Rattus norvegicus: one gene and its partner. The protein of the gene in region 2 interacts with the protein of the main gene of each other region in a biochemical or structural test. Links are inferred from orthologs where the notes say so. Each region holds a gene or a part of one and is shown on either strand. Other genes may lie near its edges. The genes, in order: Vldlr and Reln.

What was found.
Region 1: the proteins of Reln (region 2) and Vldlr form a complex in vitro, tested with the Homo sapiens proteins (6 studies listed by BioGRID). The link is inferred for Rattus norvegicus from reciprocal best matches to the Homo sapiens genes RELN and VLDLR.

Annotation. Positions count from the first base shown.
Region 1 is NC_086019.1:234,239,355-234,243,749, reverse strand, and holds the start of Vldlr (very low-density lipoprotein receptor precursor), read right to left. Parts: upstream 3,065-4,395; 5' UTR 2,882-3,064; coding exon 2,800-2,881; intron 1-2,799. UniProt on the Homo sapiens protein: Multifunctional cell surface receptor that binds VLDL and transports it into cells by endocytosis and therefore plays an important role in energy metabolism.
Region 2 is NC_086022.1:13,627,320-13,631,595, reverse strand, and holds the start of Reln (reelin precursor), read right to left. Parts: upstream 3,029-4,276; 5' UTR 2,857-3,028; coding exon 2,625-2,856; intron 1-2,624. UniProt on the Homo sapiens protein: Extracellular matrix serine protease secreted by pioneer neurons that plays a role in layering of neurons in the cerebral cortex and cerebellum by coordinating cell positioning during neurodevelopment.

The DNA of each region.
Region 1 (4,395 bases), on a different chromosome or scaffold from region 2:
ATGTGCACAGTGTAGATCTCTGGAGACTCAAGCATTAAAAGTGAAGAACTGCGTTGACATGACACAGCCCTACAGCTACTGGTAAAAGGACAAACCTGGGCAAACAGCTATTTCAGGTGTTAGGAAATGCGCTGCCCACGAAGCTTGGATTGTGACTCTTTTTTAAAGAAGAAATCCCTCCTCTACATGGAATGCTATGATTGCTACCCTCTCTTGGTGCTCCATCAGGGATTATTTCTCCTGGTCATCCAGATTCCTACCTGCAGGCACGCTGGTATTGCTGGTAAGTTGCTCACTCCCATTGTAAGAGGCATAATACTCACTGGTCAGATAGGAAGAGCTCTTGCAGAACTCCGGCTCTGAAGGCTGTGCAACATGCCCCATCTGAATCTATAGGTAGGCTGGAGGGGGAAAGTCCTAGAGTCCCCATGTATTCTGCCATCAGCCCTTGTGATGTCTCGTTTGTTAACATCCCTTGTTAGCTTCACTTCAGTTTCTTGAAGAAACTCTGCAAACACATACCTACCCTGTGTCGGGTAGTTTAGAGTAACCCCTTGTATGTGCATATGCATGCCCGTGTGCGTATGTGCGTGTGTGTCGGTATGTGTGTTGGGGGGACAGAAGGAAGCATTGGAGAGAAAGAGAAAGCATAGAAGGTTGGGGGCAGGAAAACCAGTCCACATGTTTCGGGACTTTGAACTTAAGACACGGCTCTCTGAGTTTACTTATGGTCAGTATCTGCTTCAACCAACTCCAAGTTTGCTGCAGCTCAGAAAGAACTGCCCCTCCCCCTCTGACTCTTTAGGATCGTGCCTGCCTGTTTTCCTCTTCCACTTTGGCAGCACCACCATATTCCACTTGCAGTAAAGGGGGAACAAAGGTTACCCCCGCTTTCCTGATCCCAGCCGAACAACTTCTGATGTTTGACTAGCTCTTTGCAGCAGCCTGGGTATTTCCTACCACTCCATAGAAAACAGCACCTGAGAGAAAGTTAGCGCTTTAAAATTTCCCAAGAACAGAAAAGGTTCTGCAGCTAAAGTGACTCCTTTCTCCCACCTCCCTGAATCACAGTCAATAATGGATTTTATACTTTCGTGTTTTGAAATATTACAGAATACATAACGCGAGTCGAGTCACTCTTCTGAGGGATGGTTTAATAAGTTAACATTACTCATCCATTAATGATTAATGTCAGCGTCTGAAATGTTCGGTTAAGCAGGGCTTCTCTGGGCGCATAGGCTTGCCACACGTAGGATTCTGGCGTCACTGTACATGGGCCCTTTTCAGAGTGCAGCTGGAGAAAGCTCCAGAGGGAAAGGCCCCTCTGAGCCTGGCAGATCTTAAAGGTATCCCAGCTGGGGCAGCTCAATTAACTCCGCGAAGACACGTGACCAAGCTAAACGCAATCCAGCTACCAGCCAATCGCATGGGTTAGAAAAGCCCTGCCCAGCTTCTCACGCTCCGGACAGCGGAACCAAAGGCCCAGGGGCGCTGGGGGACTTAAACACCCCAGTATAGCTCGACAGACCGCTTGACCACACACTTGAAAGTTCGCTCTCACTCCAGGACACACGTGACCGCACGCGGGCGGGCCTTCTAAGCTACTCGGGCGACAAGAGATGGGGATCGTAGACTATTTAGAGCGGGGACGGCGTTCTGTCTAGAGCCGGTTGACAAGCAAGCACTCTGGTGTCACCTCTTAAGACCTCTAAGACCTCTTCAGTGGCCTGCCAAGGATCAGACCGGACCTTGTTAGGAAGGCGTCTTATCACCTGCTCTGGAAAGTTGTATGACCCAAGATGAGACTCTGAAAGTACACAGGGCTCCGAAGTCAGTGTGCTGACCCCCGGGGACTCGATTGTAGTCACCCCCGCCCTCCGCAAGCTACAGTCACACTTCAGCTCCAGCACCACACCTTCCGGCCTTATTGTGTAGAATAAAGGCTAATTACAGTCACTACACTGGGACTCAGTTTCTCTGGGGGAAAGTGTTGCCCAGAATGAGGCTCAGCAAAGTAACCTGATTAAGTCTGGATCCCACTCCCCTCCCCCGTTCAGTTATCTCAGAGACCCCAGAGGTTTTTAAAGGCTGCAGTAGCTGCGGAATCCCCGGGGGAGGGAGAAAGAAAGGCACTCAGAGGACAGTCCAGTTGAAAGCCACACTTGGAGCCTGAGAGATGGCCCGGCGCCTGGGGAGTCGCAGTCCCGGGCGCAGGCTGCGTACTTGACATGGCTCGGCCTCCAGGCTGCCGCCCACCGAACGTGCGCCTGCTCACGGCGGCGCGAGGACTACAGGCTCGGCCGGCACCTGGTGCCCGGTGTCCTCGGAGACGCCCACCTTCACCCACCGTGCGCTCTCAACCCTGCTTAAGTCTGAGGGACGCACCCGGGCTTCCAGGCCCCATGCTCTGCCAGGGTCCTAACAGCCCGCCTGGCAGAGGAGGCAGAACCATTGTTCAGTGGCTCTACAGCCCACATCCCCTAGCCCTTGTCAATGGGAGGTGAAAACCATGTAAAACAGAGGTTCTGGAAAGAAGGGGGACACAGAAGGATGACAACAAGTTCAAGGGACGCTTCAGGACACCCTAAACCCCACAGTCCCCCGGGCCCGGCTCCCAGTAGCCTCGGCTCTGACAGCTCAGAGGCGCCACCCGGGTGGGGAGGGGAGCAGGAGAGGAGCGTGGAGAGACGTCTGCTAGGAGGGGATGGGCAAGAGGAGCCCCGGGGTCTCCCAAAACGCAGCGATCGCGGACGCCCGGCTTGTTTCGGGCCGAGTGTGGAGGGGCGCGTCCCCACTCACCGCTTGCAGTGGCGCCGCTGTCCCGGGGCGCCCAGCACAGCGCGAGCAGCAGCCACAGCGCCCAACGCGCGGACGTGCCCATGCTGCCCGCCCGGATGGTGCCTCCGTCGCGCCGTCGTTGTCGCCGTTCGCTCCGCACAACAAGTTACCAGCCCTTCGGAGAGGAGGAAGGAGGTGGGGGCGGGGAGGGAGGAGGCGAGGAGGAGGGGGAAGGAGTGAGGAGCCGGGAGCACGGAGAGCACGCAAGGAGCGGGCACCCCTTCTCTGCAACTTGCACGCTCTACTCCTCGCCAGCCACCCAGCCAGCCAGCCACCCGGTCACCTCCCCCGCCGCGGCCGCGGTGTGCGCGCAGACCCTGCGGGCGGAAAATAATGCAGGCGTTGCAGAGAAGGGGAGGGAGAGGGGAGGGAACGGCGCGGGAGGAGGGGGCGGGGAGCCCGTTCGCCGCCGGGGACAGCTCGAGTGAACGGTCTTGGGGCACCCACCGGGGCGGCGGCAGGAGCGCGGCCGAGCGGCGCGGCGACCCCAGCGGGGGAGCTCAGCCCAGCAGCTCCAGCACGCACCGCTCTCCCGCGCGCTGTGAGGAGGGTGCGGGGGCAAGTGGCAGCGTGCGTGCGTGAGTGGCTGGGGCTGGGGCTAGGGCTGGGGCTGGGGCTGTCGCCGCCGCCATCCGGACGGCTCCAGGGGCTCGGCTTCTCCGCGCGTCGGCCTGGGGCTCACGGGGGACCCGGGGCGGCCTCTGGTTGGCTCGCGCACCGTTCTCACCTCCAATCCCGGGTGCCTGTCCTAATTTCCTGATCCAGGGAACCTGCGGCCGCAGCAGCTGTGCGCTCCCTAGCTCCCTACAGTCGCTACTGTACCCTCCTGGCGCCGTGGCAAGGAGCGCTGATGCAACTATTGCTGCTGTTGCCACCGCCTCCGGGCTTGATGGGGTTGGCAGTTGAGGGGTCTGGGGGCAGCAAGGAACCCTCTTCCCCCCTCTCCAGAGCCCCTAGGAAGGGCTGATGTTGTGAGGTCGGTAGGTAGCATCTTCTGAGGGGACTCTTCTCGCCAACCTGAAAGTGATGAAGAGGAGGGATGCGAACGCTCCGCTGTTCTGTGTGGGGTTCGGTGTCCCATCACAGTGGCAAGCTGACATGCCATTTTGTTAAAAATTAAATGTGGCTTTAAGCAAGAGTGTGTGAAAGAGAGAGAGAAAAAGAACAAGAGCGCTCCCGCGGTTGTGGCTTGTCCTCTGTAATAGAAGAAGACTAAAATAACCGAGTCTGGGATGGGGAGGAGGGAAATTGCCAGCGCAGCCCTGCATTCTCTCATCAACGATTATAGTTAATTGCTAATTGCACAAAATGATAGTTTGAGGGCCTGTAATTAAAAGCTTAACCTTTTTCTGGTTGGAGGAAGGGGACCCCGGTAGATTTATTCTCGGTATACTTTGTAACGTTCAATTACGAGCATTGTGGAGGGAAAAAAGGAAGTAAAGTCAACCTTCTCGAAAGGATAGATCGGGGGAGGTGGGTGCCGGGCAGGACCTAAGTCTAGGATTTGTTCTTATTGAACTTCAGTTTTCTTGAACACATCGCCCTGGTTGAGAGGCC
Region 2 (4,276 bases):
GCCCTGTATTACTGCCTTCGTTTCGTCAAAGATTTTCAACAGAGATCTTTAAATAAATATAATTCATACAGGAATGCATAACTTTGAAGTGTTTGTATTATACACTGCCACACAGCCCAAGCCTCAGAGACTAGGTGACATCTCCATTCACAGTCTATGGTGGGTACCATTCTACACACCAGGTCTTTCTCAGCACAGTCTTTAGGGGGAAAGAAAAAGGAAAAAAAAAAAACCTCAAAACTACCAGCCCTCCACCCAATGCCATTCAGCCAAAGCCCTGAGCTCCATGGAAATCTAAGACAAACCCGTGTTTCCTGACATAGGTGCTGCATTTAGAAGATGTAGACGGCTAGAAAGAGATTCCCAAGGCAAAATTTTACAGATTTCCTCACCTGAGTAGGCATTTTAGCCAAATGACCTCTGACTTTCAACATTCACCAAAACGAGCCAACCACGAATGTACTTATTATGACTTCCTATAGTGAGTCAATTCTTACAGATGCTTTCATTTCCAAAGATTTAATAATGAAAGCCACATGGACGTATAATTTCAGTTTTAAGCATTTCTCTTGCCTCTAGCCTACTCTATAGGAAAAAAAACTGGAGGCCTAGAGTCATTGTATAGCTGGTTCCCAAAGCTAAAACTTCGATACAGTATTTAATGGGAATTTAAAATGGTATTATTCTCTCTAATAATTTGACCTTTCAAGTTTCGTGATAAAATCCCCCGCCCCATCTTTTCTGGTGGCATAAAAGAGATTCCAGGGACCTGTTCCCTGCCATGTCCAATCCAAATAATACAGTCACCTTTTTTCAGGTTTAGTGACATGATTACATTCAGGCTGAGGTTTACAGCAAAAGCTGCAGATGCTACATTCTTAGTCTCACATGTGCTTTCTTGGCCGACCAGGGCTGTACAGAGGATCTGTGTGGTGGGGGACAATACGGCTTTGTCATCATCGAAGACTCCATCACAACCTGACAGTAGCACCTCTAAGACCAGCCTTCACTCACTGGCCCATGACTCTCACAGCTAATAGGCTAGCACATCTGCTAAGGGGCACACCAAGTGACAACTGTCTCAGTTTGCGGGTTAGGCCTAGCTGTTCCTTCCACTTCAAAGATTTTCATGGCCTCAGAAAAATCACCTGATCACTCTCGGGAAGGGAACGCATACAAGCAAGCCCTTTTCTTTTTTTTTCCCTCGGAGCTGGGGACTGAACTCAGGGCCTTGCGCTTGCTGGGCAAGCGCCTTACCACTGAGCTAAATCCCCAACCCCAGCCCTTTTCTTTAAAAGACTAGTCACAGAAATTAACTTCCTAAAATTAAATTCTAAAATTCCACGGGCAAGGCTGCCACCATTCCACAACAAAGTTGTGAAGGCACTGGTTTAAAAATCTAGGATGAACATACTCAAAGTATTTGGGGGTGGATAGGAAGGTTTTATTGAAATGGAAAACTGAAGTAGTTTTGTAAAATTTTCACTTCCAAATCTATGTGAAATGCCAGCCATCTTCTGCTCTGTCAACACCTGTAGCCTATTACAGACGGTGTCTACGGGATGGCATGAGTTCACTCTATGATAGCTTATTTAATTGGGTATCAATATTTTGTGGAAATTTTCCAATTTAATATTTTTATCATTGTTTAAGAAGTCCCAGTATGAAGACTGAAAGTAAACATGTTTTATCTCCCCACATAATTCCACTTGATCAAAAGAATAGGTACCACATTAAATTGCTCTTCTTGTAGCTAATTTTTATTTTTGAGTAATGTTTTAACCTCAATGAAGGGTTGCATACTACATTAAATTACTCCTCTTGTAGCTACATTTCCTTTTTGAGTAATGTTTTAACCTCGTTGAAGGACTGCATACTGATCCCTTTGGAGAGGGATCGGCTTTCCCGCGAGTAGCTTGTAGCTCCTACCAGGGACTTAAAGCGGTGCAGATACAAGTCATTAAGAATCATCACCCAGACGATGCTAACAAAAGCAAGCATCAAGCTAAAAGTATGAAGGGGATGACAGAAATCATCAATCACTGATATTTTTATGACCCTTTAAAAGAATAAAGGGCTGGAAACAGCCGCTCTGGTTCTTGAGGATTGCCTGACACTCGGTAGATCGCTGGGGACTCCTGGCTGCAAAGCAGCGGGAACTTTTAGCTGGCCGCCGGCATGGGCAGCCACCGACCAAAGCGCTCCAAGTCTGTGGGCAGCTGGCCTGCAAAGTCCAATGACAATCCCAGCGCCACCTGGGGACCCACCAAGGGGGTCCCAGAACGGGACAAAAGTCTGGTATCTAGGTACTGGGGTTAGGAAAAGAGAATACACAAGTTAGGCAGGCAGCTGCAGGGAGTGAGGAGGGAAAGACAGCAGTGCCCAAAGCTTGTGTGGCCTGTCACATAAGCACCAGTTTATCCCGAGATGTGTTAAGGGACAGTTGAAATCCCATCTCAGGACTCCATTCTCCACTAACTTTGTTCTCTCTCCCCAGGTAGCGAACCCCGCTGAGGTAGGAGGTTGTCCGGGTCTCTGCCCGGCTGGCCCCTGGGAAAAAGGAAGAGGATGGGAAGATGCGCTCGCGGGCCACCGCGGCGCCTTGTGGATGCCGTGGTACCTACCATGGTATTCCTGTCCCGGTACGTAGTAGGTGGGGTTGCCCGCAATGTGCAGGGAAATGAGCACCTCGCCCTGCTCCCCATCCCCTTCCAGCTCCCCGTGGTGGGTGCACAGGAAAAAGAAGGGCGAGAAGCGCGGGTAGTAGCCCGTGGCGGCGCGCGCCCTCAGCGTCGCCAGCAGCAGCAGCAGCACGGCCAGGACGAGAGTCCGCGGCGCCCAGCAGCCGCGCTCCATGCCGCCGCGCTCCGTGCCGCCGCGCGCCCCGCGCGCTCTCTCATCCACTTTCGGAGGCACCGGCACGGAGGAGCCGCGTGCTGGGAAGGCGAGCCGGCGGCGGGCTCGATCCGAGCGGCTCCGGGCAACCGAGCCCGCGGGGGGAAGTTGGCGGGAGACCGAGGCTCCCGAAGTTACTTTGGGCCGCGGGAGCGAGAGCGTGGGGACACCGGGGCCGCGGGCGCCGAGAGCGCGTCGTCCGCCTCCGAGCGCCGCCGCTGCCCGTGTGCATGCGACGCCCCTCGGCCGGGCTTGGGAAAGCGCCCGCCCCCTCCGCACCTTCTTAAAGCCCCGGGCGCCGCCCCCTCCCCCGCCGCCGCCACACGTGTCCCAGCCGCGCCCCCGCCCCCGCGCCCGTCCCCGCCCCCTCGGGCTGTGTCCGCACCCCGGGCTGCGTCCCGCGCACACGCGCGTCTCCCGCCCACGCCCCGCTCGGCCGGGAAGGGCAGGGCTGCCCGGCCGCTGCGGGAACGGTGAACGGCCGGGGACCGACGGGCTGCCCCGGGGAGCCGGAGCCCGGGGCTCACAGCTGCCCGTTCTGCGAGGACGCGCGGGGAAGCCGAGGGCGGCGGGGACCGCGCCGTTCTTTGTCTGCGCCGGCTGCTCCCCGCGCCCCTCGGGGCCCGCCGCCCCGCAGTCCCCGCGCCCAGCGCTTGTTCTGGGGACCCGCCCGCCAGTGGCCCCGAGCCGCGACGGTGCCCCGCGTGCCCGTACCCTTTCCAGCCAGGCCTCGCGACCTCACCGCTGCCCCGGCCCGGGTCCTCAGCGGCAGCCAGGCTGAAAGGGAGATTGGGTGACGGTGGGATTGCCACCTGGAGTGGTGGGGGGCTAGATAGTCGGGCTGCTTGGCTGTAGGGGCTGTGGGGATTGTGGGGATTGTGGAGAGGGGACTGGACAGGCACGCTTCGCCGGACTCTGGCTTTACGTGTTGCTCCCGAAATCCTAGGACGGAGATGGGGGCAGTAAATTTTAGGTCCGAGTTTATTTCTTTTTCATATCATGCATGACCACTGTCCCTGGGGTGGGGGAGGGGAAGGCATGCAGAGGAGTGGCTGGCAACAAGGATGAAGCGGGCGGTAATGAGCTGCCGCACGCAGGACTGCGGACAAGTGAAACCATCTAGAAGCACATTTTTAACTGAGCGCCGCTGGCAGGAGCCCGGAGGCACCCAGAGAAGTGAGAACAGGGCTGCCAGGTTTTAATGCGTTTCCCCAGGCTCAGCACCAAGCCAGAATAAGAAAGCCTTGCTTATAAAGAAACCAGGAAACGGGAATGTCTGAAATGGTAGTCTTTGCCTGAGTTTGGGAAAAGGGCATCAGAAGGCAAGATCGAAAAGGAGACCTCTGTGGTCATTTCACTGCAAAAGATTATTTTCTGCCTC